Struthio camelus: one gene and its partners. The protein of the gene in region 1 interacts with the protein of each later gene in a pairwise test. Links are inferred from orthologs where the notes say so. Each region holds a gene or a part of one and is shown on either strand. Other genes may lie near its edges.

Evidence for each region.
Region 2: the proteins of NDEL1 (region 1) and CCSER2 interact in binary tests that used the Homo sapiens proteins (3 or more experiments, as listed by UniProt). The link is inferred for Struthio camelus from reciprocal best matches to the Homo sapiens genes NDEL1 and CCSER2.
Region 3: the proteins of NDEL1 (region 1) and MRC2 interact in a two-hybrid assay, tested with the Homo sapiens proteins (2 studies listed by BioGRID and IntAct). The link is inferred for Struthio camelus from reciprocal best matches to the Homo sapiens genes NDEL1 and MRC2.
Region 4: the proteins of NDEL1 (region 1) and KALRN interact in a two-hybrid assay, tested with the Homo sapiens proteins (2 studies listed by BioGRID and IntAct). The link is inferred for Struthio camelus from reciprocal best matches to the Homo sapiens genes NDEL1 and KALRN.

Annotation. Positions count from the first base shown.
Region 1 is NC_090960.1:13,233,686-13,241,660, reverse strand, and holds the start of NDEL1 (nuclear distribution protein nudE-like 1), read left to right. Parts: upstream 1-4,973; 5' UTR 4,974-5,025; intron 5,026-5,492; exon of another isoform or gene 5,493-7,537; intron 7,538-7,975. UniProt on the Homo sapiens protein: Required for organization of the cellular microtubule array and microtubule anchoring at the centrosome. May regulate microtubule organization at least in part by targeting the microtubule severing protein KATNA1 to the centrosome.
Region 2 is NC_090948.1:35,183,382-35,191,039, reverse strand, and holds the start of CCSER2 (serine-rich coiled-coil domain-containing protein 2), read left to right. Parts: upstream 1-4,655; 5' UTR 4,656-4,746; intron 4,747-4,993; exon of another isoform or gene 4,994-5,230; intron 5,231-5,393; 5' UTR 5,394-5,577; intron 5,578-7,658. UniProt on the Homo sapiens protein: Microtubule-binding protein which might play a role in microtubule bundling.
Region 3 is NC_090966.1:3,743,071-3,750,985, forward strand, and holds the start of MRC2 (C-type mannose receptor 2), read left to right. Parts: upstream 1-4,901; 5' UTR 4,902-4,948; coding exon 4,949-5,039; intron 5,040-7,915. UniProt on the Homo sapiens protein: May play a role as endocytotic lectin receptor displaying calcium-dependent lectin activity. Internalizes glycosylated ligands from the extracellular space for release in an endosomal compartment via clathrin-mediated endocytosis.
Region 4 is NC_090947.1:34,426,489-34,433,904, forward strand, and holds the start of KALRN (kalirin), read left to right. Parts: upstream 1-4,410; 5' UTR 4,411-4,493; coding exon 4,494-4,566; intron 4,567-7,416. UniProt on the Homo sapiens protein: Promotes the exchange of GDP by GTP. Activates specific Rho GTPase family members, thereby inducing various signaling mechanisms that regulate neuronal shape, growth, and plasticity, through their effects on the actin cytoskeleton.

The DNA of each region.
Region 1 (7,975 bases):
AGATGTGCCGGGACCCCTCTCATTACCTCGTCTCCCCTGAGAGAGCTCAACCCTGCTCTCCGTACACCGTTGTGGGAATAATACTCAGGCACTGCTGCAATAGGTGGTTATTCGGTGCCGGCAACTTTGCAGTGATTTCCTAGCGGACAATCATATTCTGCCTCCTTTCTACCTCGCAGGGCCGTTTTGTAATCAGACAAGTGACGGAAAGCGCTGTGCCAAGAGTGCGCGGGATGCACGCGGACAAGGCACAACGCGACGCAGACAGCATGAGTCATTTCCCTTACAGCTTTTACAAGGCAGCGAGAAAGGCTGGATTGCTTCAGAATTGCTTCAGAGCTGGACTGTGCACGTGTACAGCACCCAGCCGGCTGTAGCTACCCCTCGATCAGAGCAACACGGTGCCTGGAAAGCCGGGAAAGAGGATCGTTCTTCCAGCCAGGCCTCCCGCCACTGCTCAGCCCCCTGGTCAACCCCTCCACCGGGGCCAAGGACCTTGGCGGGGGGTTGCAAACCAAGGCTAAAGCAGGGCAAAGGAGACAAGCGGATTTCCCCAGCCACAGCCCCAAACCATGCGCTTAGCCCCCGGCCTGGGGGTTTCCCAGAGGTGTGAGTCCAAGCAGAGATCCTGCCTGGAATTAACCACCGGGACAGCTTCCCCCGGGATGCTGTGGCTTCACCTCCACTCTTTCATTCAGGGGCAGCGCGAGGCTCCGAGCCACGCTCTGGTCCTACCGCATATCCTGGGCTCAGTGCAGAAGTTGCTGAGCAGCGTTCCTGAGCTTGTGCAATAGCCGGAGCACACAAGGTGACCCAAAAAGTCCTGTACAGGAGTCACGGGTGATTCATGGTGCTCACTGAACCGCGGGACCTGGGAGGCAGCTGTACTTGCACTCTGTCCTCGGCGCGTATAAAAACGCCCATCCCCATCCTCCATGGTAAAAAGTGGATTTTTTTTCCCTGGAGAAGAGTATGGGACCATCAGCCCTGGACAACCCATAGCTTATGGCTAGTGGGACACGGGCAGAGAAAAGGTTATCAGGAAACACTATACAGAGGATGGTCTCAGAGGCGTAGTGCCCGCAGAGGACGCGGGCTGTCACACAGCTGGCAGTGCGGCATGGCCACAGGTTCAAACGCAGCTTCCCCACGCTGCCGGCAGCATGCAGGCATGGCCCTCAGCGAGGGTGGCACGTGGGGCCTTTCGAAAGCACCGTCCATGGCTAATGACAGGCCGTCTGGCTAATTACAGGGGGAAGCAAATTTAATATGCAAAGGAAACCTAAGTATCAGGTTCATGCAAAGGAGCTGGGAGTCCAGCTGCCAGGCAGCTCCTGTGCAGGAGCCACCGCGGAGGGCACCCTGCCCTCTTTCCGCCCGTGCCCTTGAAGCTGTGGCCTCCAGAGGGCTGTTCGGCAGGCACCATGGGGCATGTTTGGTGGGTACCGTGGGGCAAATTTGGCGGGCACCATGGGGGATATTTGGCAGGCACCACGGGGCACATTTTGCAAACACCGTGGGGCACGTGTTGCAAACACCGTGGAACACATTTGGCAGGTACTGCTGGAGAAGGAGCCACCAGGAAATACGGAGGACGGGATGAGCAGTGATAGTCCATCTCAGAGGCTGACAGCTGCCCCAAACTTGGCTTGGGGCCAGCAGGTTACTTAAACAGTTAAAAAAGCCTCCCTATACAGTGACTTTCCCCGCTCTAGGGGCTCTTACAGGACAGAAACACAGCAACGCCGCGAGGATAACGTAGCGACTGCAAGGCTATGGGTGAAAAGGAAGGATGGCCCAGTGGCTGGAGCAACCCTGTGGTAACAGAGTCCAATCCCTTCTCTACCACTCGTCTGGGTATGCGGTGTTCCTGCCCCTCAGGTGTACCCTTTAAAGGAACTTAGGTGCCCAATTCATACACATCCATGGGCATTCGGTGCCCAAGTCGCTTAGTGCGTTGGCCACGGTCTCAGTGCCCTATTGCCTGCCTCACCGAGGGGATCTGAGGACATAGACTTGGGAGATATCATGGTAACCGATCCCAAACAAGGCATCAGAGATAGGAAACAGCACAATGGGAGGAAGGGAGAAGGGTGGGACGCGCGGCATGTTGTCCCATCCCCAGGGAAGGCCAGCAGGAAGAGGTGGGAATGGGAATTGTCAAGGGGAGCAATTTGGCACCTCAGGGAGTCACGGTCCAGTTCCCATGCACCAATACTGATGGGGGTCCAGGACCCCCTACCGATGCTGAAGGACCTTCTGCATTTCCAAGGAGGAGATGGGATCCCCCCAAGATCCTCCCTGGGGACCAAGGCTCCCAGCGCAGGGCACAAGGACCCCATCAGCAACTGGCTGGGGCTCTCAATCCAAACGAGGACCAACACGCTTGTGACCCAGCCCCTTGGGATGGGGAGCGAAGTGAACGGGCATTTTGGGGAGAGCTCAGCAGGGATGGAGAACATGAGAGGAGGCTCTGGTGAGGTGAAACAGGGCCCGTTTGCTCCGCTGTGATGGGTCGGAGGCCGGTGTTGGCTCTGACCTCTCCGTGTCCTTCTCTTGCTGAGCGCAGGAAGCATGGCTGCAGGGAAAGGCAGTGCTTCTCCGCTCTGACCGATGGCAATTTCTCAGTCTAAATATAGAAAATTCCACACGTGCCTCCGTACGGTCCAGGACCGTGATGAAATCAGTGCTGACTTTGTTAGGGCAGCGGCCAGGCTGACTTCAAGCCTTCCTCCACACGCTGGCAGGGCTCGATCTCTGCCCGGAACACTGGAGGAGCTGCGGTGGGGATGCTATGGCTGATTTTCTGTGCCCAAATGCATCCCAGAGCCCACCCAGGGCAGAAGCCAGCTTTTGAATCTGCAGGGGGGCCTTAACAAAATTAGGACCTCCGGGGCCTGGGCACGAGCTGAGTCCCAACAGACTCATCTCACACTAGGTAACTGTCAGCATGCCTGCAGCCTGTGCCTCCATCACTATCCCTGATGCTGGCAAAGTTTGGGGGACAGCACGGTCTCGGGGATACAGATGTCCATAAGACACATAGGCAAATCCCCCTGCTAGGGAGGCAGCGAGTTGAGCTGGGTGGACACACACCACGCTGCCAGGGGTCCTCCCAGAGAGCAGGCCTGGGCCTGTTTAATTTACTAGCGCAGATGTAGCCAGGGAGAACGGGAACGCAGCAGCTTCGGAGCTATGGAGAGCCAGCTGGATGGGTCGAAAACGGCTTTCTTGCCAAAGTTGATACTTTGAGTCTCAAGAATCAAGAGATCAGAACACACCCAGAACCTCCCTCCCAAGAAGCGGCCCTGGAACAGCTCCATCATGAACGTGCTCACGTAGAGCTCGATTTGGACATGGGTTTAGGCCTGTCCGGGATGTCCCCCTCCCTCTGGAAACAGTGATTATCCTGGTCCACGGAGTCGCTTCGTCCCTCATCCTGAGCAGCCACTGCGCGCCGGCACCGAGATACTTCCCCAGTGAAAGTTTTGTTGGGAAGAACGTGCTTCTCATTTGGACAGGCCGGTGGTTTCCACTGAAAAAGGCATCTCCTTAGAGCACATCCGGCTCGCCGTCACCCGCGCACCCCCAGCCCAAGCCCGTGCCGCAGGGCACGGTCGCAAGGGACTGCAACCCACGCTGCAATTCAGCCCCACGCCCGCTGGGATCCCAGCGCTTCGGCGCGCCGCCGGCCCTCGCCTGCTCGCACACCTGACTGCGGGGCTGTCGCCGGATCAGAGAGGCGTAAGCAAAGGACTTCAGCTTTGCAGCCCGTCTCCAGCACCGCTTCCCGTCCTCCGCTTGTGCTTTCGTAGCGTGGCTGAGCCGCCAGCTCGCGGCAAAGCCGTTCAGCTCCGTCCACCCCAAGCAGCAGAAACGCAGGCAGCGGTTCTTCCTCCTGCACCTTCACCGCGCAGCCGCAAGTCCGGAGAGGCGTCAGGCCCGAGGGGAGGCCGTACCCCGCGCGGACCCCACGCCATCGCCCTCTGCAGCCCGACAACAACTCGGTCTTCCCCCTAGGGCCTCCCTCTCCTGTCTTACCCGCTACCAGCTTCCTTTCTGCAAAAAAACCCCGCAGGCATCACCTGCTCGTCTGTCTGATAGCAGCAGAAGTAACAGCAGGGCTGGGGGAGGGGGGGAAAAGCGGCTGGACCTCGGTGCTCCAGCAGCAGGGCGACGGAGCGGGGCCTTGAGTCCGGCCTTACGGGTGCGCTGGAGTCATCCCTGGTGCTTTTTCTTCTGCTAAGGCCTCTTTCTCTCTCTCTCTCTCTCAGCTACATCATCAAAATAAGCTAAAGATAAAATTAAGTCAAACAAAGAAAAAAGCTGCGAGACGTCGCAGCGAAGTCGGCCGCTCAGGTAAAGCGAGCGCTCGAGCGACGCAGGCCCGCGGGCCCGCGCGGCGGCAAGGGCCGAGGGCTCTCGGCCCGGGGGCTGGCCAGCCCCGCCGAGCAGCTCCGCCGACCCCTGCCGCCTCGCCGCGGTTTCCCTGAGGAAGCCCGCCGCAAAACCCCACGGCGGCCACCGGCTCTCAGCCCTTCCCGGCAGCGCGGACGCGTCCCCGTGGGCCCCACATCCGCCTCCATCCCACTCGGGTGGCAAACGTCGCCCCGCGCAGCGAGGCCGCGCTGCCGCGGAGCCCCGGGACGGGCTCCGGCCCCCGCAAACCCACCCGACGGGGCAGCCCGGGCCTCTGGGGGGGCCACGGAGGGGCCACGGCCCGCGGGCAGCCCGGGGGGGGGGGGACGAGCCCTGCCAGGCCCCGCGCCCAGAGCCTCCCCTCCCCCCGGCCTGGCACCGCGCAGGGGCCCAGGCGTCCCGGCACCGCCCCACGTGGGTGCCAGCGCCGGCCCCGCCCTCCCGCGGGCGCGGCCTGCCTTAGCCCCTCCCCACGCCCCGCTCTGAGGGGCGGGGCCCCGTTCCCTCTGTCGCGTCACAGCGGCGGCCCCGCCCCCCGCGGTGCCCGGATGAGGCAGGTTTGGGAGCCGGCGGGGATGCTGCGGCTGTGACAGGGGATGCGCCCGGGTGAGTGAGGCCGCGGCGGCGGCGGCGTGGGGCGGCGGCTCGGCAGCGCGCCGTGCCGTGCCGTGCCGTGCCGTGCCGGCGCGCCGGGGGCGGCGCGGGGATCAGAGGGGCCGCGGCGCCTCACGGCGGCGGCGGCGGGAGGGGGCCGGCGGGCGGGCGGGCCGGGCCGGGCCGTACCGAGCAGGGCAGCGGGGTCCCGGGGGCCGCTGCCCCGCACCCCTCCGCCGATTGGCTGCAAATTGACAACGGGGCAGGTCCCGCCCCTCCCTCCCCGCCATTGGCCGGCGGCGGAGCCCCCGCCGCCTCCCATTGGCGACAGCGCGTGCCAGTCGCTCGGCGGCCCGGCCCTGCCCGCGCGGCCGCCGCCCTGCGCGAGCCGTTCCCCCCCCCCCGCCCCCCGCGCTCCCCCTCCCCGGGGCGCCGCCGCCGCCGTCTGAGGCGATGGGGGGGTGGGGGGCGCCGCCCGCGCCCGGCGGTGGCCGAGGAAACCGCGCTGGGATTCCGGCCGCCTCCGCCGGGCCGGGCCGGGCCGGGGCGGCGGCGGGGCCCCCGCGGGGCTATTTCTGTCTGCGCGCGCGTGCCTCCCCCGCGGCGGGGTGGCCGCCGCCGCCTCCCGGGCGTCGAGGTGTTTCCTCAGCGGGAGAGAGGCCGCGGTTTGCGTGGCGTGAACTTTGGCTGCCCGCGAGCAGTGGCCTTTGGGGGAGGGAACTTGTTTAAAAGGCAGTTTTGCTTTAGCGTGGAGGGGAAAATGGCTGGGACGACGTTTGGTTTGAAATATCTTTTCTACTAGTAGGTTCTTTCCCGGAAGGTAGTTGTGTTATAAAACTCTTAATCCGTGCCTGTCAGTTCACTGGAAGCTGCCCGCTACTTAATTCCGCGCAGGCAGTTCATAATTCATGGCTGGCCGCCCTCTTTGCACTCGTTGAAAGGAAACGCTTTTTCTGACTACGCTATCGCGTTTTGCTTCCTCTTGTTACACCTCTTGAAAGTTATCTCTGAGCCTGCAAAGGTGTCTCAAGAGTGGCAAGCCTGGTTCGGATTATCGAGTGTCTGAACAGGGAAGGAAGAACGTTTTGAGAACGATTCAGCCGAGCTGGGCACGCATCGTCTCAGAGCCCAGCGGTGCAGTTTTGGGGCAAGCGTTCAAGTGAGACTGCAGAATTCCGATGCGTTAAGGCAAAATTGCCCGACATACATGCAGTTTGTCCAGCTCGGGACTTATTCCTGGCTGTGCTCCGTTCTACAAGCGGAGAACGAATTTCAGACTAAGTGACTCACTCCCAAATCTCATCTTCGTTGGGACCGTGCGGCAATCTCTCTGTCATGTGACATGTGTTATGAGGGGACACTTGTTTTTCTGGCTGTCCACTTAAATGCAGTGAACTATGCTCCCTGGCTGTCCCCGTGCTGCTGCTGGGGAAGGGGGCAGCCAGGACAGCTTTGATGGCAGCAGTCTGCTTTTGACTACACCCCATCCTCAGAGCAATTTCTGAGTGCAGAAGGACTTACCTCTGTGTGCGTGTATGTAAAGCATGCGGCAGAGTAAGCTATGTGGTTTGCCTGGCTGTAAACAGGAATCACTGCTGCTCTCTTTATACTTCCTGTGCCTATTTTGTAGGTGGCTTGGTCCCATAAGGAGGTGTCTTTTCATTGTCCAGCTCCGGTAGAAGACAGATAGCTGGGCGTATGGTTCGCCACCGTTCTCTTCTTTGTGGTGAAGGGTCTTGCTGCTCAGGGAAGTGGTTGAAAGTTGTGAGAGCTGGCATGGTCTGGTCTATGCACGTCAGGTGGCCCACAGGACAGGGTTTGAGAAGACCCCTTACGCAGTGTGCCAGAGGAAATGCTAATTTATGCTCGCCTGTGATGAAGTTAGTTACAAGTATGCTTTCACTTTGCTGTCATGGGCTTTTCTCTCACAGTCACAATTTAAATAGTTGCTTTTGCAGAGATTGCATAAAATAGTTAGTAGATCGAATGCCTGCAATATTTGTCTGTAAATACTTTTCCAGGAATTTCGTGAAGGTTACTTTTTTTGGGAGGGGGAGGGGTATTATTCTCTCTAAGCTTAGCTAGGCCTGTTTTATTTTGTATAAGCATAACCAAACTTGAACAGACAATGCCTTCCAGTGTGAGTTTGGCCCAAATTGTGCCAGACATGGCATAAAGGATGAACAAGTTGACGCAAGAGAAAATACATTACTAGAGTTAGGCTTTCGGTTATGTCTTTTCCCATTAAAACATACCCTTCCTTCCTACTAGTGACGAGGAGAGCTGTCCTCACCCACACGTACCCCAGGTTTGTTGTTCTCTATCGGTTTGCATTGGGAGTGTTCAGTGACTCAGGGTTTCTCTGTTCCCTGTGAAACTTGGTCATGAGTGCAAATAGTGCTCTCTTAGGTCTGTGGCATTTATTCCTCAAAGAGGTGATTAAATGTGCAAAACTGCAGTAAAACAGTTACTTGGACATTTAAGGAAATTCTAAGTTGCAGAAGAAGTCTTGGACACCATAGAGGTAAGTGGCCTTGTCAAGGTCATTGCTCTATTTGGAGGCATTTGTGACTATAATAGGAAGCAGTTGTACTAGGGCAGAAGAGTGAAGTTGAAGTTTTTAGGTTTTTGTTTGTTTGTTTTTAAATTTGATGTGTCAGTCGTGTTGTGACTGTGTGCAGGCATTCTGTCCTGATAGTGCCAGATAATTATGGTGGAACATGATATGACGGGTGTGGGTGAATAGTTTGGTTTTTGAATTAGTAATGTTGCGCCTGCCTTGGAAAGATGCTCTCTTACTTTCAGACCTAGACCTTGCTATGCTCTATATTCATGTTTTATATGTCGAGGCAAATACCAGGCATTTTCCTTTTGACTTACACATGCCAAGATTTGATCTTGCATGCTGTTGCAAATTACAAATGTGAAGGTATGTGTTTTGAGCCATGTTGATTTAGTTTCC
Region 2 (7,658 bases), on another chromosome or scaffold:
CCAATCATTTAAAAAACAAACTGGCTGTGCAACTGGTAATAAACAGTTCTTCCTTTACATATATTCTACGCATGTATTTAGAAAGTGGTAAATACCACTAATGTCTAAAAGTATCACAAATGCTCAAGGACTTCATCTCTATAAACTGGATTCCTTTTCAAGTAACCAGGAAAAATACGGGACTTAGTCTTAAAAATGATGGGGTTATATATTTCAGCAGAACAAGTTTGAGCTCATCTCTGCGTTTTCCCACATGTACGCAGAGGAAGGTACGCTGATCGTAAACCACTGTCAAGATGACAGCTTGCACCAAGCAGAATTTCCTATCAGTCATTTTGTTCTTATACAACTATTTATTGCATAATGGTACAAAGTTTAGCTACCTGCAGATACTGTGCTTGGAAATAATAAATATGTACACTTATGACCACAGTAATTATATGACCACTTATGACCTGTAATTATTTTTGTATGTGACATTAGCCCACTGTTTTTCTTGTACTTAATCTCAGAAAACAAGCTCATCAGCTTTTAATACTTGCTTTAGTACATATTTTTACAGTATTACAAAAGTGAAGTTATTTGTATAGCTTACAAAAGCATAAGAGATTGAAAAGGCAATAAGTAATTCTACAGACAGCAGATCTCTGGTGTCAATTTGCAACTTGGAAAATATAAAGGATTCACTCATTAATAAAAGCACTACTTGTAGAGACGCAAATTAAGAGAACAGATTTGTTTCTAGAAGAATACCTCCAGGTAGCAAAGGTATTTCATCTCTATAAGGAAAACAATGCAAATGGCTTTATTAGCCGGACAAACAAAATTCAATTTCCTATTGCTAAGATAATACTTAGTAATAAATGAGTGAAAAATTATTTTCAATACCTTTTCAAGGAAATAGGGTCAGCATTTATCTATTAACTTCATAATGTTAAAGGGGACAACGAATGTTCTCAGAAACTGATGCCTGCCAATGAACAAATTTTACAGAATGAGTTAAGACGCTTTGAAGTGAAGAATTTAAGCCCATAACCATCTAGCTCTATGTGCTCGGTCATATTTCCTGAAAAATTCAGCTATAACACAAGAAAAATAAGCTCCATAATTCTAATCTGTTTTCCTTTTTTTGAACTTTTCCTGGATAGCAAGAGTCCATATTGCAGTGTTTCATTTTTTGTAAAAATAAAATGCCAGCCATTACTAAGTGATTACTTATATGTGGAAGAAAACTGTGGCACCTAGCTGCCTAGCCCTTTTGAATTGGAAACAATGCAAACAGATAAAATACGGTCCAAGCATCAGATTTTATAGAATCAGAGTATAAGTAGAAGGTGGCTGCAGTAAAAGGAAGTGGGTGAACAAGGTAAAAAGGACATGATTATGAAGAGCATAGTAAGAAGTGTGGTCACAGCGTATCAGCTATCTAAAAAGTCTGTTTTGTGTGAGGTGCTTGGCAAAAATGATTTTTCTGAAGTGGTAAGAGGAAGGAGATTGTCCTGGCTGAGAGGATAGCTTTCACTGAAACAGACTATCTCAGCTTCATTGTAATGCAAGGGTTGGGAAACATCAAATTCGGGTTTTGTAAAGAGAAGGGAACAAGGCTACGAGGACAAATTTGAACAACCCTTCTTTCATTTTCCACTGGAGTGAGGGAAACATGCACTTCTAGTCTGCAGAAATATATGAAATGGAAACCAGACCAAATTTAAAGGAACAGGAGTTTCCCTTCAAGCCAGCCTGTGATATAGCTACTGGCTGGAAGTATTCTTCTTTATAATAATCAGTAAAGGTCATATCGAACAGCTGGTTGTTTACTGCTATCTCATTGTCTTTATCTATCAGCAAGTCGGGTAAAACTGAGGAAGCTAGCAAGGTTACAGCAGGATACTCTGAAAATACCTGCTCAACTATTACTAGGAAAACTAGGCCTCCATGTTGCTCCCTGCACTGAAGTTGCTCATACCTGAACAAATCTGTGCGAAAGATACGTCTTTGGCTGTTAAAGTCCCTGGTCTGCCAACTATGGGAGGTTGGAAGAGTATTTGTGTAAATATCACCGTCTGCTCATCACACTCTTGTACTCTGCTCGGGGCGTTTGTTGGTATCCGTTGCCGTGTCTTCCATTTTTGGAGGCGCCACTAGTTCTAGGTCAGTGAGGGAAGCGGATGAAACAAGCTTCTAGTCCATCTCTCAATGCAATATAAAGTCCATTTAAATCAATTTAGTATAAAACCAATTGAATATAAAGTCCTCAAGCTGGGGATATATCAGATATTAAACTGGGAAGAGAAGACACTACGCTGAACCTCAGCTAGATCTTAATCTGTAGCATCATTCAGTAGCATAGTTAAGACCATGTTTCTGGTTAAGAAGCCAGAAGCTGGAATTTGGGTATGTGGGCTCTGCTTTTTGAAGCTATTCAAAAAAGGATGTGGATTTTGCTCAAAGACTGGATCTGCTTAATCATGAGGCTATAGAAGCATTGTAGCAATTTGTTAAATGTATAAACAGATGGAGGAGGCTCTCGGATCTGCCCTAAGATCTCTCTAGAGCTTTTTTTTTGGAGGGGGGGTATTGTTTTCTTTTAGAGTTTGGTATCATGATCATTTTAGATAGTACAAATATGAGCTGGAGTTAAAAAGGAGGGTTATACCACCACTTCTAGGCCAGTACACATAGCTTACGTGCCTCTGTCGTATTGGTACAAGTGTTCATGCAGTTCTCTGATCTAGCTGAAAAATACGAGCAGGAACACTTTGTTCGTTGATCTGTTTCACTATGCATGTGGGTACCTAGCTAAGAGATGTACTATGAAAACTCAGCAGTTGAAGACTGCTGAACTGCAGTGACTGCAGAAAGGCAGTGGGAAATGTAAGAATCTCCCAGTGAGTCTGTAATAGGATTTCTTTTGGTTTTAGAAGGAGGTGGAGAAGAAGGAAAGTTGCAGGAAATTTCAGTGGTAACAGTGAAGCCATTCTATTCAACAAAGTAGGGAAAAATCAAATCTATGCTAATGCAGTTGATGTTTACATTAGCGCTCAGAAGTTGGGGATGACTCAAATAAAGGATGACTGTGGTTAAAGCAGCAACGCCTGACTCAGGAAATCTGAGTGCATTTCCTGGCTTTGCTATCTCTTTAGCTTTGCGCAAGAGATTTAATCTCTCCCCACTTATTATTTTTTTCTTCCTGTACCACAGGGGAATAATTATACTTCCACATTGTTCTAAGAATAAATGTGACTGGAATATTCAGTTTCAGGCAAAAAGACATGTCAGAGCTTCATTGTTGTTCCTTATTTAAAAATAGGTCTTTTGTGCTATCCATGGGGCAGATGTACTGTAGCCTTCACATCACGTGTCTCAAAAGGTGCGGAGGCAGTGCTTGGGCTGACATCTGTAAGCAGTTCTTACACCCTTGGGCAGCCTGCCCAAATCCTAGTCAAGAGACTGCGGCAAATGATGCTTATCCATTACAGGGCTTTTCTTCTTCTGCAAGAGCACTGCTTGAAGCTATTGCATGACCTTTTTCCTCTGGGAGTTCTGATGTAGCAGGCATGCTAAAATTTAGAAAATATTGGCAGTGGAAACTCTGAAAACACTGAGAAAAATGATACTCAAATCTTAAGTGGATGCACAGAAATACAGATGCTGGCATGTGAAAACAATGCACATCTGAACAGCCCCAAGCACGCGAGGTGCTGAAACGCAGGCCCTAGGCATAAGCACGCAGATGCCTAGGCAAAGCATTGGGGTATAAACATTAACTCAGTTAAGTGACCCTGATAAAAGAAGTAATTTCAAGTGACTCTGGGCAAATAACTTTCTGAAGTTTGCAGAAGTTTCTGATATTGTCAGTGCTTTGTGATTTGTGGCACAAGTCCTACGCTTTTCATGTAGTTGGGACATTTGCAAGGTCTCTTTCCGTTGTGCATGGTCCGTAGTCCCAGCGCTAGGACACTTGTAGGCCTAACTACTACTTTTTTTTCAAATTGGTCTCCGGGTCCCCGAATTGTTGGGGCAGACTGATAGACGCGGGCGGTGGTGCTGCACCCACAGACATCGGCTCTGCCTGTGTCTCACGAGCCCAGCGTGAACCCAAGCGCCAAGGGCAGGACAGTTTGGGCAGCCCGGCGGGCAGCTGAGCAGGCGGGCGAGGTGACATGATAGCAGAGCCCCGGCGCTGCCCTCCGCCATGTCAAACGAGGACAAAGCTTCAGGGGCAAGGGGCGAGCGAAGGGGGGGGCCGGGGCTACGGCGATGTGAGCACGCCGGAGCCTCCCTGCACCCAGCTGGCAGGCACAGGGCCCCAGCTAGGCGGACACTGCCTGCGTCTGCCCGCAGAGCACCGGCTGCCCCCTCCCGCCGGCGGGAAAAACCGTTGGGAGGGCAGCGCGCGGCGCCTAACGGCCGACGCGCGGCTGGGCGGGGCGCGGCCCAACGGGCGTGCGCGCAACCACCGCCCCGCCAGGCCGCCCGGCGCGCCTGCGCGGCCGGCGCTGTGACGTCAGGGTGAGGCGAGGGGCGCGGCCGGGGGCAGGGGAGGGAGCCCGGCGCTGCCGCCGCCGCCGCCGCCGCGGGCGCCGGAGCATGCGCGGCCGCGGGCGCGCGCCCCTCCCACCGCGGGCGGGGAGGGGCGGGGCGGGGCGGGGCGGTTGGGCGGCCGGTACCTGGGGGCGCAGAGCGGCGCGGCCCCGCCAGGGGAGGGCACTGCTCCGGCCCGGCGCGGCGCGGCGCGGCGCGGCGGTGAGTGCGGCGGCCTCCGCCACCCCCTCGCGCCCCTTCCCTTCGCCGGGCGGCCGGGGGGGTCCGGCGTCCCCTCGCCGCCCTCCCTCGCGTCGGCGGGTCGCCGCCTGGGGCGGGCGGAGGATGCTGCGGCATCGGCGGCGCTGAGGCCGCGGGTCTGCGCTGCCGCGCGGGGGGCGGCGGCCGGGCCGGGGGCGGCGGCGGCCTCCCGCCGGGCGCTGCCTCGACCTTTCGGCGGGGCGGGCGAGGCTGGCCGCGTGCCCGGCTAGCCCCCGGCCTCGGCGGGCTGCGCTGCCCGGCGGTCAAGGGCGGGGGGGAGGGCGGGCCTGTCTTTGGGTGGCTCTGTCGGTTTGCCCGTATTCTGATTTTCTTCTGTTTGCTGAAGAGTGCCTGCAGGTATACCAGGAAGCTGAAGGCCCTGGTTGCAGAGATCCCCTTGTGTCTCCCCCATCCCCCCCCAAAGGGGAAGGTGCCAAGGCACCAAGTACGTGGGTGTTCACAGCCAACGGTCTAAAAAAAAAAAAAAGGCAATAGAGCATCTATTTCAGCTAAATCTATTCAGATATTGCGTATAGCAGGAAGAAAGTGTTACGTGTGTTATGCTGTTTTCTCTTCAGTGACGCTGAGAATTTGCCTTTCTCATCCAGAGCCTGCTGAAACATCATGTTCTGTCGATTGTACTCTGATACACAATGAAACATAGACAACTTCACCCTTTAACTCTGAGCCGGAGGAAACCGAGCTGTTCATCTTCAGTTAAAGAAAGAAAAAGTGAATGGGAACTTTGTGCTGCAGCAGATCATTAGTGTCCAGGCCAGACAACAAATTAAGGTAAGGATTGGAGATCTGGTTCATCTTTGTAATAAGATGTTTATCGGTTCTTTAAGGTCTTTGTTGAAAGTGTAGGATAGATGCTTCAGATCCTTAGAAGGCTTATTCCTGTATGTGGTCCTTGAGCCTGGTATTGGCGCAGAACAAAAAATTTTTTTTAACCAATGTATTAAAAGCAATATGAAGTTGGATTAATTTTTGTTGTTTTTTTGTGGAACTGAAAGCTGTTGTAAGTATTGCCTGAAATGTTAAAAATGTATTTTGCTGGGACAGTTGAACGTTTAGTGTGAGACAATAAATATTCAGATTTTTTTTTGTTGATGCTGACTGAAATTTGGCAGCTACTTCCTGAAGTGTAGAAGAGATCTCATAACTCTAAATTCTTTGAGCCCATTTTGATTGAATACCTAAAAGCTGTAGAGGTGAATGCCTAAAAAATAGAACATTAATAGTGACCAGCTACCTAAATATTAACCAAAAATCTATGTAAATATGCAACCTGAGATAGTCAAAATGCTTTTAAAATCAAAATTTAGATTTTACTCACATACTTTCCGTTATAGAGATCTTAATTATTTGGGTTGAAAAACTGCTAAGTATAGTCTTCTAATCATAAAACTATTTTAAATAGTTTAGAAGATCTCTGTATTTGATATTTTTTGTCTCTTATAACACCTTTTGTTTCTGAATCTAAGGAATTAATAATATATATGAACGCATAATAATGTGAATAATAATGATCCAAACTAACATGCAGTATTATGCTAGTGAGTAATTCAGTTTAATGGAACTGTTTGTGTAAATGCTTTCTGGAGTAAAACCTATTACTCTTGGACCTGATCATGGGTTGGGATGGATTTGCTGTTTGGAATAAACCATTTGCAAAGAAGAGTTGGTACAGGCTCTCTGGATGAAAAGCCGTCATGCCATCAGTCTTCACATGAAAATCAGACATATAAAGCTGTTAGAAAGTTTGTTTCTGTGGAAATTGGCAAGAGAGAATAAAACACAACCATTGCAGCGAGGGTTGTGTTGCTCTCTTCTTGCCACTATTTGAAAGTGTAAACAGCAGCGCCATCTTAGTTAGAAGCTTCCAGGCAGGGCTGAATTCCTTGCCAACAGGGATACTAAGAAGATAAAAATACTAATGGGGGTTTTGATAATTAGGTTTAAAGTTCTGCATTTTGTTTCAGCTGAAGCAATAAAAAAGCTTATATAAGTCTCTGGGTACCTGAACACGTTTATGTTACAAAAAAATCCCGATAGCATTAAAATAATTATTCAGAAGATGAAATTTAGCTAGTCAGTGTAGATCTTTGTATTTCTTGGTACCTCTGGGAAACATACTCCAGCTCACTTCTGAACTTCTATCAAGTGGGTATATTTTTTGAAGATATTCTAATCAAAAGTACTTGATTTGCAGAGTTCTAGGCCTTTCTTGCTAGCTATTATCCCTCTGTGCTAGAGGAAAGATCCATCTGGAACAGTTCGGTTGACAGTATCCTGTAGCACGTGGAGCGAGACAGTCTTCTCTCAGGGGTGCTTGCCACAGGTCCTGGGGGAAACTGATGTCACAAGTTCTCAGTGAGATGGCTTTTCCACTGTAATAGTTGTTGGGGTTTTCATGAGCGCTTAGTCTTCTGTAGAATACATTTTAATGGCTTTGACTGAAGCAGAAGTATGGTTAATGTCGGCAAGGTTCACGCTGTGAGAAAGGTCTCGACTTAGCCAGAGGAAAATAGCTGATAAGGTTTTACTTTTATGTGGTGGTTGAACAGGTTATAGATCTGGAATAACCCTTAAATTGCAAATTATTTCTGAATTTATTCCCTAAAGCAAAGGGACTGCTATGCATTTAGCCTAATTAGCCCTAATGGCTCGTGACACACACGGCACAAGCTAAGCTAAGTGTCGTGGGAGAACTGAATATTCTGGATTCTCTTTACTCAAATGATGTGTCATTAGAGCTGGAGATTCAGAAGTGTGTTTTAGACAGAAAATTTTTCACTAAAACGTTAACACGTGCGGTACTTCAACTCTATTTCCTTTTGTAAATCATGTTAAAGATGTGTTTTACTGAA
Region 3 (7,915 bases), on another chromosome or scaffold:
AGCCGGGGCGCGCTCTCGGCTGCCGCGAAGGGACCCTCTTCAGGCGACGCCGTGGGCTGCTTTACCCGCAGACGGGTGTTGAGTAGAGCTGGGGCTGGCTTGGGTGTCTGGTCCGGTCTTGGCGACCAGGCGCGAGCGCGGGGAGCAAATGCCCGTGCAGCCGAGACGTTCGCTCCGGGGTGCGACGCTGGAGCAGCCGGGAAAGGGCTGCGCGAGGGCTGGGATGCGCCAGCCCCCCGAAAATGAGCACGCTTCCTCGACGCCCCACGGCGCGCCGGGGCCTCGGCCGCTGGCGCCGAGCTCTTCCTCCCAGCGCGGAGCCTGGCGGAGGCTGGACTAAGCAAGCACCGCGGCACCGTCGGCATCGCCCGAGCGCCGGGGAGAGGCCGAGCCCAAGCACAGCGCTTCCCCGTGGCTTGTAAAAGCCACATCAGGATTTTCCAGTTACGTGTTTAAAAGGGGGGGTGAGGGAAGGAGAAAGGCTGCATCTCAGCTGCTCCCTGCTAAACCTCTCACCTCGCTCCTCTCCACCCCCCGACCCGTGTCTGGCACCCGGAGCCAGCTCGGGCCACCTTGGTCCCTCTGAGCGGATGGCCATAAGCCCTCGGGCCACCAAGGATGCCCCCCGGTGCAGGGACACAGGGCCGCCGGCTCCTGGCTGCCAGCTGGAGCTGGGGGGAGCCCCCTCCGCGGTGGCATTGGCACCCCGACGGGGGCAGACGTAGGCTTTTGCAGCCTCTACGTGGTGGCCTGGAGCAGCTACTTGAAGGAGCGAGTGGAGCAGGGTGCTGGCCGGGGTGGGGGGGCCGTGGCGCACCGGTGGTCCCGATTCTGCTGCACCTTCCCCACCCCACCAGGCGGTTGTTTGAGACCGGCCTCAGCACAAAAGCTCAAGGGTTTGTGGACTTTCCAGGAGGAAGCAAACCCAAAAGATTCCCTTTGCATCGTTTTCCTTTTCACGTGCGTTTCTGTCCCTGCCGCCTGGTGTCCTGCAGCAGCACGTTCCCCGGGAAAACGCCCCTCTCGCTTTCCAGCTGGCTGCTCCGTCGCTCCGGCCGCTATGTGCTCGTGCGTGACTCCAGCACTATATACTAGTAGCTTATTTTTGCCCCTTTGAGGCCGAAGGCCCATGGTGCTGCCCAAACGCGTCTCCCGATCCGGTGCAATGGCCGGTGCCGCCAGCCCTCTTCCGGCAGGGCTGGAGCGAGCGAGCCTGGCAGGGGCCGACGCTCTTGGAAAAAGCTGCAGGGAGGCACCCGTGGAGCAAGGAGAGGAGCAGCCCGGGCTGCCGTGGCCCTCCTGGGCTTGGCCACCCACCTCTGCTCCCCGGCCGGGCGCTTCTGCCTGGCGGAGAGCGACGTGGCCGTGCCCCGTTCCAGCTCCCGGCGTGGGGGAGAGGAGAGCCGGCCGCCTCCGAGCCGTTCTCCTCTCGGAGCAGTGACCTCAGCACAGCATCGCCTGCCAGGTGGGTGTTGATCTTGGCCTGGCCGGCTCTGTTCGGGGGCCAGGATGAGGCCGAGGCGGCGTGAACGGAGTGCCGAGCTCAGGGCCGAGCCCGGCAGGTGCCAGTGGGACCCAGCAGCGCCTGCGTCAAACACCGTCCCCACGAGACGGAAGGACATCCTTCAACAGCCTGGGAAATGGAGGCTGAGATGGTCGAGCTGAAGCAAAGCCCATGGCAATGGGCAGGAGACCTCGAGCCTGGTCTCTCCGGGCAAGGCTTTGCTCTCGAGGACTGCTGCTGCCATAGGGCCCGCAGCTCTCCGGAGTGGGGAGATGCCTCCAAATGATGTCTCCAAGGCCTTTGCCTTAGGAACCGCTGAGATCTAGCAGGATACGCAGGAATGACCCCTCTTACACACCTTCAAACCTAACAAAGAGTTTCAAAGCAATAAATTCACCCTCTTTGCTTCACCAGCGTGGGTCAGGGCAGTGCTGGAGTTCCCCCACCCTGGTTATGTATTTATTGGCTTTGGTCTGTAAGCTCGTGCTAGAGATAAAAACTAGCTCGTAGAAATGAAGCATTATGTTGAGAAGGAAGAGGAGGGACAATAGATGGGTTTTGATATGCATGTGGATAGCAGTGGATTTGCCATGTCACACACCTCTACGTGAGGTCACGGTCTCAACCGGGGCTAGGAGCCACTGCGGTCTCCTTAGCCAGTGGCTAAGTGGTGCCACCTTTCAGCATTAGTCATTCAAGACTTGTCCTGGAGGAAACCCCTCGTGACCGCTCTCTAGTCTGATGGTCAGTCTCACAACCCATTTCTGCCCTTCTGCTTCTGCTTGTTTCTTTCCCCATCTTTTTCAGTCTAATTGATGATTTCCCAAGTGGCAATAATCAAATGCTCTGCTGAAGACCATCTATCTTGATCTGCTTTATTTCCCTTGTTCCAGAGTAGGCATCTGCCATGGTTTACCTCTCAATAAATCCATGTCACGTTGTGTTTTCTCTGTGTCTTTGGTAACTTCCTCCATCAGAATATCTTGTCTAAAGCCTGGTGCTGCTGAAGCTGGTCTCACGGGTCCACGGATGCCTGAATCCTGTCCTCTAACACCTTTGACAAGAGCAAATGCCAAGTATATGCCATATCCGGACCCTGGCCCTTGTCGGTCCAACTGAATTCAATAACCAGCTCTGAGGGTGCATCTCTGAAGGTGAGCACCTCAGCCACAAATCTAGTGTTTGTTCATCCTTCGGTGTACTCCAGACTAATTCCACATGTGGCCGTTTCATCTGAGGTGAGTTTTTAAAATCATAACGTCCTTGTTATTTAACAAAACTAAGGCTAAAAACCAGCCTCCCCTTCTGCGGAGCCAGTAATTACTGGGTGATGAAATGTGTTGGTTTTCCCATCCTGATCTACTTGAGTCTCACTGCTTATTAACAACATTTACTTTCCGATCTACGCGTGGGAAGCTGAATAGCCCAGATTGACCCGTTCTCTGCCAGCATTCACAAATAGGGAGGAGGCCTTCAGCCAAAGGCGATTTAGTGGCAGGGATCTGGCAGAGATCTGTCCTGGGATCCAACCCCTCGCCTCTAACGGTGGTGTGAAGAGAGAGCTCCCAAGAGCATGGCCTGCGGCTGAAAGTCCGTGTCCTTTTGCGAGCGGCCAATTCCCTGCGTCTGGCAGAAACTCATTGCCGACAAAAAGGTCAGACAGAGCTTTGGAGAAGTCCCGAGGGATGGAAAAAATGTATTTCCTCCAGCTGCACTCCACTGAGTGACAACTCAACTGGTACTAAACCAGACAAGGAGGAGAGTAAGCGAGGAGCTAGCGGCCTGCTCTGGAGCACTTAATTAGGGTATGTTACTTATCTTCTAATCACACATAGACCCAGCACCTCCAAGTAATGGGATGGACGGGACGCTGGCGAGGCCAGGCAATGGGGATGCGCCGCAGGAGCTGAAGCCCTTCAGCTCTACCGTGTCTCCTCCTGGGAAGGGATTTGCCTCCAGGACAAGGACAGCAGGTTCCTCTAGCGGTGAGACCCAAAACGGGGCATCGCAGCAGGCGTGCAGAGACCATCCTGCCAGCCCGTGGTGACAGCGTGCCATGAGCACTGGCAGCTCGGCCAGCCTCCTCCTAGCTCCTCAGGTGGCACATTTTTAATTTAAAAAAAAAAAAAAAGTTTTAATGACGCTAGCATGGTTGAGCAGGTCTCATGGGGCCCTTGGTGGTTTGTGCATCAGGACTGCAGCCAGCCAAGGAAGTCAGGACAGCCGTCGCCATCCCAACTCCCGCGGTTTAGGGATGGGACGGAGGAGAGGGGTGATTCTCTCTCCTCCCGCGCCTGCTCCCCGTGGACACGTCGGCCCAGCTGTGGAGCAGATCCCGGCTGCCAGTACGAGTGAGGCTGTTTCTCCAGGCACTGGTTCAATTAAAAAATAATCCGTGGCTTAAAAAATCCAACAGTGCAAATGATGATGTGCTTAATTGGGCCCCCCCCGGAGAGCTCGCCTCTCCAAAGACTGTCCTGGCACCAGCCTAGAGGGCCTTCATCTTTTGCCGGGAAACAACGGATTCGGTTATTTTCGCAAGGCGAACAGAACGGCCAAACACAAAGCGGCTTTCTCCCGAGCGCTCCCTCTGCAGCATGCCATCTCGGGACCCAGCTGCGCTTCCCCTTCGGCAGGAACGGCGCCATCGTCTTGGCCTGATGCGAAGCATCGTCCCGCCCGTGTCCTGCACGGCGGACCCCGTGTGCGGAAAGGCGTGCGGGTGTCCGGCGACCGCGCAGGCGACACCGGAGCTGCCCGGCCCCGTGCCACGTGCCTGGAGCGGACGAGGATCCAGTTTGGGCTCGGCAGCATTACGGCCGCGGTGAATCCAATAGCTGCCCCGGCGTTCCCTGTGCAACAGGTACTTGGCTTTTTGGCAGAGCGGCCGCTCGGCCTCGGCGCTTGGGGTGATTTTTGGCAGCGCCGAGGAGAAGAGCAAAGGGCAGCGAGGGGCTTTCTGCCTCTTCGCTTCGTCTTGGCGGCAGCTGCCGGCGCCCCGAGCGGAGCCCTTGCAGGCTGCCCGGCGGGGGCCAGCGCCAGCGTCGCGGTGGGGGCGCGAGGGGCTCCCAAACGGGGCCGTCAGCCCCGGCTGCCCTCTGAAAGTCCTCGAAGGATTTTACGAAACGTGCCCGGAGGCGGCATCCCGAAACGTGCCGCTCCGGCTCCCGAGCGAAGCCTCCCTCCGGCTCCCGCTGACGCAGTGTCTGAGGCCGGCCCTGGCTCCCAACACACACACACACGCGCGCTATTTTTTTTTTTATTTTTTTAACTTTTTTTTTTTTTTTTTTTGGTGGTGGTGGTGGTGGTGTCCCTCCTCCTCCTCTCCCTCCTTCCCCCCCCCCGCCTCCCTGCCCGCCCCTCCGCCGTCCCCCGCGAGCCGGCGGGCAGCGAAGCGCGGCGGCGGCGCGGAGCGGCGCGGAGCGGAGCGCGGCAGCGCCGGGCATGAGGCGCGGCGGCTCCGCGGGGCCGCGGCTCCTGCGCGCCTGCCTCTGCCTGCTCGGCCTGCCGCTGGTGCTCGGCGCTGCGCAGCCAGGTGGGACCGCGGGGCTCTTTGTCCGACCCCCCCCTCCCCCCTCGGCCGCTCATTTTGGGACGGGGCGGGGTGGGGGGGGGGAAGGCGGCGAGACCCGCTTCGGGCTCGCCCAGTTCGGGTCGGTTTCGTTGCGTTCGCTTCGGATTTGTGGGTTGTTTTTTTTCGGTTTTTTTTTTTTTGGGGGGGGGGGAGTTTGCATTTAATTTCGTCGCCTTTCGGCTCCCCGCGCCGCCGGGCCGGCGGCCACGCAGCCGTCTGGGCAGCCGGAGCCAGACGGAAACGCCGCCGCGGCCCCGAGGGGGAGGCGGCGCCGCGCCGGGGGCGGCAGCGGGCGGCAGCGGGGCCCGGCGCGCCCCCGGCACCCGCCTCTGGCCCTTTTGTCTCGGCGGCGGCCGCCCGCGGGGGTGTTTTTTAAACCGGGGGTGGGGGGGGGGGGGCGGTGAAATCTGAAGTGGTTTATTAAGAGGTTTCCAGCGGGCTCCTTGCTCCCCTCCGGCCCGCGCCTCGCTGCTCGGACCGCGGCCCCAGTAGGTAGCTGCACACTTCCTTTCTTCCTAACTTTTCACAAGCCAGTCAATCGGTTCTTTTTTACCTTTTTTTTTTTTTTTTGCCCCCAAAAAACTCTCAAGACACCGTGTGCCACACGCCTGAGGCTCCTCAGGATGGCCCCGGAATAGCCCTGCGAAACGTTTTCTAACCCGGGATATGTCTATTGGCAGCAGCGAGCCACCGGTTTTGTTGCTTCCTTTAATTAATTTGGCCTTGCGGAGCAAATGAAAATTAAAAAAAAAAAAAAAAGAACAAAAACACAAGAGATCGAAACTGGCTACTTTGGCCTGACCAATAACAAACGTAAACCCCTTGGCCTGTTTTATTCGCGTACGTTTAGCAAATGCGAACCAGATTTGCAAATGGCAATAGGGGAGGGCGCCGTTGGCTCGCCTCCTCCCCGCTTGCCCCCAGCTTTTCCCCCTTCCCTCCCCGCGAAGGAGCCACGCGAGCAGGGCCGACCTCTGCATTCCTAGATGGGCTTTTGGGAAAGGTCGAGGCGAGAGGAAGCCACCACCTTGGGAAGGGACAAAAAGCGATTGAACGGTTGCGCTGTGTTGCAACAGTGTTCGGAGAAACTCCGGTGCCGAGGGAGAGCGCGAGAGAGAGCGTGAGCGGAGGCACGGATGGCAGAAAGGGCTTGTCTGAGAAATTCAGGAAGGGTTAAGCAATGGAAAAGAAATCCTCGTCTCGTCCGGGAGCGTTCAGGAGAGCGGTATCTAGGCTTTCTGCTGGTTGGAGACGGTCTCAGCTGAACCCCCCCAGCTTCTGCAGCTGAGCCTTCGCTAAACCCGGCCCAGCCCTGGGAATGGCTTGGCTCAAGGTCCGGAGAGGCTTCTTTTGCGGCCGCTGGTTTCGGGAGGGTTAATGTGACTCACTTTAAAAGCCCTCCTCCTCCTCCAGCGGGCTCCGGCGCCTAGATCCCTGGATTTCGGCAGAGGTCAGAGCCCCGGCTGCCTGTAGGGACCCAATTCTGGCGGTTTTGCCACGAAAAAAGCGCGTAGGAACCGGGAGCCGGAGGCCGTAACCCCGCGGCGAGCAGCGCCTCCGTCCCCGAGGTGCAACGCGGGTGCGCCGAGTCGGGCGTCAGGAGCAGGGCGGCTCGAGCTGGCGCCGCTTCGGGGCCGGAGGGCCAACGAGATGCCGCTCGGCCCCTTCGCAGCCCTGCCTTGCTAACGCTGAGGTTCCCGTAGGCGGCAGCGCGCAAAGCCGGCGGCCGCCGGCGGCCCGGCCCCGGCCCCGGGAGCCACCGCCGGTGCCACCGCGCTTGGCGGCGCTCGCCCGCTCGGGCCGTCGCGGGGAAGGAGGCCGCCAGCCTCCGCCGGCTCGTTAGTCTGACGAAGCGCTTTCGCTCCCCGTGCTCGCCCGCTTCCATCCCGTCCTCCGGGGTAATCTGAGCCTTTCCAATTATTGTTAATTCTGCGGGTAATTCAGTCTAAAGAGCCAGCGTGGAGGCGCGGGGCCCGGCCGAGCGCCAAGCTGAGTTTGCAGCTTCTCACTTGGCTTTGGGGCTCGGGGTGGATTAATCCCAAGCGCCCTTTTCCTGGCTGCTTTTCTAATAAAACTCCTCCAGCGTTGGCCCAGCAGAAAGGCTGGGTTTGCCCGGGAGCAGGCGGTTCCCGCGACGGGGTCGAGCCGCTCGCTGCCCGCCGGGACGGCGCAGAAGCACCCCGGGGCTTCGCGTGGGGGACGGCGGCTCCGGCGCGGGACGTCACGCGGCGGGGCAAGGCGGTCGCTCTGGTCGCGTTCATCCGGGGCCCTCCCGGCGTGGAGCCGCCCTCGTCCCGCGGCTTAGTGACCCGCAACGCCTGGAGAAAAACGTAATTTGGGAACGGCGTGGGCAACGGGCAGCTCTGCTGGGCGGGATGCGCCGTGGTCCGTCCTCGCCGCCGCCTGCGGCCTGCGACCGTGGGTGACGCCTCCCGCCGGGCTGCTGGTGCGGTCGAATCACAGCAGGGGCCAAAAAGGGACCGGGAGGAGAATTTACAGCCTTTAAACCGAGCCGAGCAGCCTTTGCATAAAATCCCACCCCCTCCCCACGCTCCATTTTCCCCTTTTCAATGAAAACGGCCCGTTGCGCTGTAAGCGTTACTCAGGAATTGATAGCGTGGTCGTCTTCCGATGGATTGGGAAATCAGAGCTGGAAGGAGGAACCGAGAAATAATAGTTGCTATTGCCGGCGAGGAAGCTCTGCTTGGCGTGGCGCAGGCCAGCCGGGGACCGGGCGACGCGAGGGGCCGGCAGGGCAACGGCTCCTTGCGCAAGACCCTCGGAAAGCAACGGGGAGTTATTCTTTCACTTCTCGCTGTGCAAAACCATCGTGCCGC
Region 4 (7,416 bases), on another chromosome or scaffold:
ATTTCAGTTTAAGAGTTTAGTAATTTCAACCCTAATACCTAGACATATAGGTCTGAGCAGGTCTCTGGGTGTGAAAAATTTTTCTCACCTATCCCAGAATGTAGCTGCAAATAACTTATTAAAAGCACCCAAGGCTGCCTTGTTAACAGCAGAGCAGGAAGATAAGTCTTTAGGTTTTCTCTTTGATCCTCTCTGTTAATGCTCTGTGTTTAGAGGCCGCTGTGACACTGGAAGGGGTGGACTTTCCGCACAAGTAATGGTCTTTGTGACACCTTGCAGGCTGAAGCTTGTCTGCTGAACCAGCAGGATGGCTTTTCTTATTGTGCCTGTGGCTTCTGGAGTCAGAGCCCTTAGCCCATGTATTGGGTTTTGCAGCATTTGACTCATGATCCTTTGTGCTGGGTATCCAGTTTGCGAGTGCTTTCTGTAAGTGCTGTATTGTTTCCAGTCCTGCAACTGTCCTAGAGCCTTAAAATACTTTTTCCTATAGAGGATTTGCTGTCTTGGAGAGATGAATTTTACTGACCTTCTGTTCAAATGCTTCCTCCTCCTCCCATCCTATAGCTCTCATGCTTGTGGCATCCAACTAAAAAATGGTTTTTGTTGCTGATGCTTCTTATTGCGATCTTATTGGAAAACCTGAGTGTAGTAGAGGCCTTGAATCAAAAGCCTGTGTGATAGTTTCTGATCTTTGAGCAGCTTCAGGGGCCATCACAAATAAGAGCATTCGTACCTAGTTGTTTGTACCGAACCAGCTGTTTGGTACTGATTGATATATTTGTCAAGTAGAGCCGTGCACAAGATTAAAGAGGTTTCTGTCAGTGAAACTAGTGTGCTTTGGCTTATGTAATCCTACAGGGGTTTTTAGTGTTTTGTATTGCAGGGAAACTGTAGGTGCCTTCAGCATTAGATCTAAACAGTGAATTATATAGTGGAAAACTTTTCACTTCATATTTAACTGCTTTTCTTTGAGCAACAACCATTGTAAACTTGTTGGTGAGACTTGAACTGAGGAAATGATGGTTCCTAGTTGTTAATGGTATTTTTAGTGAGAGCCCTATCCTACTCGCAGAGATAATGAGAATAGTAACTCCCTTAATGTCTGGGTTGCACTAAAATCTGCTGATACCTGAATACGGTTGTCTTGATCCTGCATTGCCGTGGGCTGTGCCTATATAAGGTGTGTGACGAGTGTGACCATTGCTTGAGCAATTGTCCCATGAAAATAGTGAGTACACAGTGCAGGGCTTTCCTGGCCAGTGGAGCAGCAAGCACAGAAGTATAAACGTGCTGTGCCCAGTGCAGCAGAGATGGACAACAAAATACATGGCTATGTCTTGATGAACTTTGTAATGGACCTAGATAAAAAAAAACCCAACTCTTTAGCCTTTAATAAAATGGAAATTCCCTTTTGTTTTGAAGTACCAGAGAGGTCTGGGACCACTTCTTATTCTATGAAGTTGTCCCATGAGGAAGAAATATAGCTTGTTTTCAGAAACTAGCAGTATCTTATGGTTAAATTATTAGCAAAGAATCCAGGTCGTTAGCAGGATGGTAGGTCAGATAAGGAAACTGCTCTCCTTCCCTCAGCATTTTGAATGCTGCACGTCTGACTGCAGACTATACAGACATGGATGCTCTCTGTAGGCTGTATGAGTTCTAGTATCGATGATATAGGTTGAGCCTGCAGAATTCATAAGGAAAGGGGAATATAAATGCTTGTCATTGACAACATTAACCCCCTTTCCTGGGTGATGCCAAACCCTCCCTGCTTACAGGCAACTTCTGCCTGGCTTCTGAGGATGCTCCTGAAGGAGAAATGTTTTGACTAGATTGTACTAAATACTGAGTGTACGCAAAGTGTTTCACTAGGAGGCCCCTGTTTTCCCAGCTACCGAGGCTTTAGCCCACAGTTTAAAATCAATCTGCACATAAGAGTGTCAGGGAGAATGAGGGTTGGGGAGTGAACCAAGATTGTGTGTGGACAATATTAGGAGACAGGACCTTAAGATGGGTTTTGAAATGATGGGGTTTGCCTAGGCCCTGAACACTGAAGGCCACCTCTCCATTGTCATACAGCAACTTAGAGAGCATGGAAGAAAGGATGAATGGTACTATAGAAGGAAGACTGGGTCTGGAAAGGATGGCTGTAACCTAGTATTTGTACTGTGATAATGCCCTGGTGATGGAGGTGGGGCTGATTCCCAGATGCTGGGTGCGTTAGGAAAGGCTACGCTGATGTCCCCAGTGAGGCTGGGGAGCTTGGAAATGGCTTTTGTGTTGATGTTATCTGCAGAGAGGTGTGAAATGACCCTTTTTATCTGTAAGCATAAAAAGATAAACTGCTGCAGTTAAAAACAGCTGGCATTAGGCTTTGGAAATGGGCAGCAGATCAGAAATCAGAAGGGAGGCAATAAGGCAACCAGAGGGAAACTAAATGCTAAACCTCTGGATGTGTACTTCTATTTTTGTGGTCCCCAGCCCTGACATATGCTTTGCTTTTCAATTCCTCTTCAATTCCTGTAGTAAACAGTAAGGTCAGACAAGATGTGACCGGGATCTCGGTGCTGTTCCTGTTTGTTCAATGTCATCGGGATACTCAAGCTTCCACAGGGAAGGATTCAGCCCTTTTATCAAGTGCAATATATCTAGTCAGTGGGCACACATCCAAATCCAGCTTTCTCTGCCCCACGGCTGGTGTATTAAGTGGAGTTCAGATGTAGAAAATTCACATTCCTGGTGTATTATTGAGTAGGAATCAGATGTAGAAAACTCATGTTCCTCTGCCTAAAATATTCTTGGGTAAAATAGGAAAGGTTCTGCCAGACTTGGCTGCTAACCTGCCTTCCAGATTGAGATCTGATGTGAAAGGTGCCACTTGCAACCAGTTGGCTCTGAGATTTCTGCTCTTTTGGACTGTTTCCTGAGGTGCACTAGACTGCTGCTTAGCTCTTTCCAAGTGCTTCAGTGAGTCCCCCTGTGGTGACCAGGCTCCAGGAGATGTTTTGTCCTTGCGTTTTCTCCAGCTGACTTCCACCCCTGCACCTATAGAGCCCCTTAAGCATCACGTGTTTCCAATGGCAAAGGAGAGATGATGGGATATTTTCCTGACAGGGGCATGGGAACCTGCTGGTTGAGGCTCCAGTCCTGAGAGAAGGAGATGCATGCATGGTGCAAATGGATTATGCAGGGGTGATGCAGCTGCAGATGTGGGTATTGTGATGGTTGTTTTAGCTTTCTAGTGGTCCAGGTAGCAGAGACAACTGTGAGGTGTGACAAACACTCCCGTATACATTGGTGATGTTCTGGATGGGGGAATGGTAATGCTTCTCCTTAAGAAGGCTGTTAGCTGTAGAGCTGTTTGTGACTTTAGTGGAATGAGGAGCTGGTGAGGCTTCAAACAGCTGAACATGAAAAAGGAAGGTGCCCAAATGGCAAATGTCTGTCTGTCTGTCTTTGTGCTTCAAATCTTGATAGCTAGGCTCAGGGAATAATAGTTAACACAGCCACTAACAAAGCACAAACAAGTATTCCTCACAGGGCTCCCTTGAGATGGCAATTTTTGTCTGAAATCACAAATATCAGCCTGATGACAGAGAAATAACATCACTTAAACAGTTGAGCCAATGTGTGAGCTGGGACGAGCACCTGAGAAGGAGTTTGAAACCAAGCTCTCTACCCCAAAGCCCCTTAGGACTGCGAAGAATATAGACTAGGTGAAGGTACCTGCACTAACATGCGATTTTACTTATCTTTTCCAAAACAATCATGCCCCACAGCCCATGAAGAAAAAAAGAAATGGGGGATTTTTTTTTCTTGTAGCCACACTGACCTGTACTTTCAGTCCCCGACTACCTGCCCGCTAAGCCCCGCGGTTAATCCTCAGAGGGGGGATGGCAGCGGGGGGGAGAGCAGGGAGCCCCGCCGGGGCGGCCGTGCCCGCACCTGTGCGCGGCCGCGGGGCGCCTCCGCCCGGCGGCGCGGGCTGAACCGCGGCGGAGGGCAGGCGGCGGCGGGGGCAGCCTGCGCCGCGGGCGTCCCGGCCGCGCTGAGCCAGCCCCCGCCGGTCGGCAGGGAGCGGCGGGGCCGGGCCGGGCCGTCACGGCGGCGAGGGGCATTGTCGGCAGCGGGGCGGCGGCGGCGGCGGGGGGAGCCGGGCGGTGGGAACAATAGCGGCGGAGGGAGGGGAGGGGAGGCGGCAGGCGCGGAGCCGGCGGCGGCGGCGGGGCTCGGCAGCCGCAGCGCAGCCGGCCGGCAGCCGCAGCCCAGCCCCGGGGCAGCCGCCCCGCAAGCTCCGCCGGAGGGATGAGTCGGGAGGCGCTCGGCTGGGCTCGCCGCTAAAAGCGCCTCCATCCATCCCTCCCTCCCTCCCTTTCTCCCTCCCTCCCTCCTTCGCTCCCTCCCTCTTTTTTTTCTCTCTCTCTCGGCTCTCCTCCTCCCTAACTCACTGGATATTAGCAGCCGCCGGCCTCGCCGCCGCCTCTCCCCCAGCCATGAATCCCGCCGAAGGGGCAGCGGAGGACGGCGCTGTCCCCGACTCCGAGGTGGATGCCTTCTTCCGCACAGGTACGGCAGCGGCGGGGGCGCGGCGCGGCGGCCGCGGAGGGCTCCGCCGCGGGATGCGGAGCTCGCCCTGGCACCGGGCGAGAAAGCGGCGGCGGGGTTTGGGGGGGGGGGAGGGAGGAGGGTGTCCCCGCCGGCCTCGCTTTGTCTGTCCGCCCGCCCGCCCGCCCCCCCGGCGCGGCTGCCGGGGGGCGCCCCTTGCCCGCGGCGGCCGGGAGGATGCGCCGCCGCGGGGCTGCCTTCCGCGGGCGGCGCAGCGACGGGGCGATCGCCGACGGGAGGCAGGGAGGGCTGGCAGCGCCGCCGCCCCCTCGCCTTGCGCCGGGGAGGCACAAAAGCCGCGCGGAGAGAGGGGGCATCCGCGCCCGCGGAGGGCGGGAGCGGGCGGGCTCGGGCGCGGGACGCTTTTTAGGGGAGCGGAGCCAGCTGCCCACCCTCACCCCCGCTAGGGCACGGCCCCGGGCGGCCGGACCCCGCTGGCCCGGCGGGACGCGGCCTTTCGGGGCAGCCCGGCTCCCGCCCGGGGGGACCCGCCGAGCGTTTCGGGGCTCCGCGCTGAGCGGGTGCTCAGGTGGAGCAGAAGTGCGGTTAGGCTGCGTGGAGCGGGGCCTTCGTTACCCGCGCAGCGGTTAGTTAAATCCTGTGGGCGGTGGGTGCGCGCCAGGGCTGCGCTACCTGTTCGTGAAGGTGTGGCGTGCCCGGTGGCCCTCTGAAACCCGGCTTTGCGCAGGACGAAAATCTCACGTGAAACGACCTGTGGTATTTTTCTCCCCCTGTTCTGCAGCTAGAATCTTAAGAAAGCATTACAGGTTTCTTGGTAGATTTTTAATTAAAAACTGTAAAGGATTAACTCCTTGTTTCATAAGGGGATTGACCCTTTTAGGCTAGGAATGACACTTAACTGCCACAGCTGTTTGTCAAGACTCTGCTTTTCAGCTGTTTTTCTCCTACCTGATGGTTTGCTGTGCGGAGTGCTTGGAGCTCCAATTACAAAAAACAATTATGTAATCACTGAAACTTTAAAGAAGTTCATTCCTGCAGGCCTGCAGCAGCTCTGTGGCTCCGCGCTATGGTAGACTACACCCCATTTATGTGAAAACCCTTTGATCTAGAGAATAACTGTAATAGGGATCGGCTGTGTAGATCTTGTAATCCATAATCCATTAAACCGAGGAATATTTGTATGTTGATTGCCTACCTGTTTACAAGCAGATTTCCCAAGTTTCAGCAGTATCATTATTTGTGGGCTCCTGAAAATTTGTAGAAGAAAAAAAAATCACCAGTTTTCCTTTTGAACACACTCTCTTAATTAAGGTTCCTCCCCAATTCCTATCTTTTCCCTATTTCCCCCAAAGCTGAATCGTTTTCCAGTGACACTGCCTTCTCAGTGTAAGCAGGTTGGCAGAACTGAACTTGGAGAGAGTGAGGTCTGTGTCACTTCTGAGAAAAAAGTATTCCTAAATAAGGACAGAGCACAAAGAATCGTATGATTAGACACTCTTTGCATTCTGTCTTCACCAGAAACTGTACCTACAGAATCACAAATACACTTGTTACCTGCCCCATGCATTTAACCAGGAGTTTCCAGAAAGTCTTTATTTCTGCTTCTAAGGGAAACACAGTCATAGAAACATAGGCCTGGAAGGGATGTCTAGGCCACATCCTTACACTGAGGCAAGAGTAACTACGTTAAGTCCATACCTGATGGCTGTCAAATCTACTTTAAAAAGCTTCATTGAAGATGACTGCAAAATTCTTGTTTCTGCACCATTACATACCTTTCCGGGCACAAAATGCTGACATGAAAAAAAAAAATCTGTTAATAATTCATCTTTATTTTTGTGAGTTGTAATTACCAGGCAAATATCACTGAGAAATAGGGAAAAAGGAGTGATAGCAGGCTTGACTCCTATGAAATTGCAATGTATTTATTGGTGTGAGGTGGCTTCTGTGGTTCTTGTGTGCCCTGTTTGTGTCTGGGAGTTGCATGCTCATGTTGTGACTGCCTGAAGCTGCTATTGGTTTTAATGGACAGAACAGCTGATGTGGTGCTTAAGAGAGAAACTGTAGCTAAGATGTTCAGCAAATGCAGCTGACACTTCCAGCCCGCTTTTCCTCAGGAATCAGTGGCAGGCCTGCCTGAGAAAGGAGTATGAGACTGGGTCTAGTCTATAATAGCTGCAGAGACCTGAATAAACTTTTTAGCATCCAGATACTCTCTTATTCCTTCTGTCTTGACTTGTATTCTGGGTTTCTAAAATATCACCATTGCTGCTTACATGCTTTTGTATATTGAACAGCACAGCAAATAAAAATGAATCTATGTGGCTGAAATGTTAGCTGTTTCTGTAGTGCAAGTGCACACTAAACCACCTAAACTCTTTCCGAGTTTGTAGCTGCCGCACGGAAAAGCATAAACTTGTGCTTTGTTATTCCCAGTGAAAAAAAATGGAGTCCGAACAACTCACATCTCACTCGGAGGCTTTTAGCGAGCAGATGGGCTTTGCGTGGAGCCTTGAGGATCGATAGGCTGCTCTCTGGGAGCAGCCGTGGAGGCTAATGCTGAGGATGGCGCCACAGCTCCCACACTAGCACCCAAACGTGCAGGCGTAGGGGCCTGCTATTGGTAATACCAATTATGATAGTAGGTCTCTAATCTGTGTGTGGAAAACCAAACCAAATGAATTAACACGAGGTAGTGAAGGAGGGCCTGTTCTTGAGCTTGTGCTGATGAGAACTAGGAATAACTTTTCAGAAATGGGTGGATTTTCACCTGTGTGGTTGGTATTGGAATTCAGTTAAGTGTCCCTAGGGAAATGTAGGATTGGGACTACTCTTAACTTTCACAGCCAG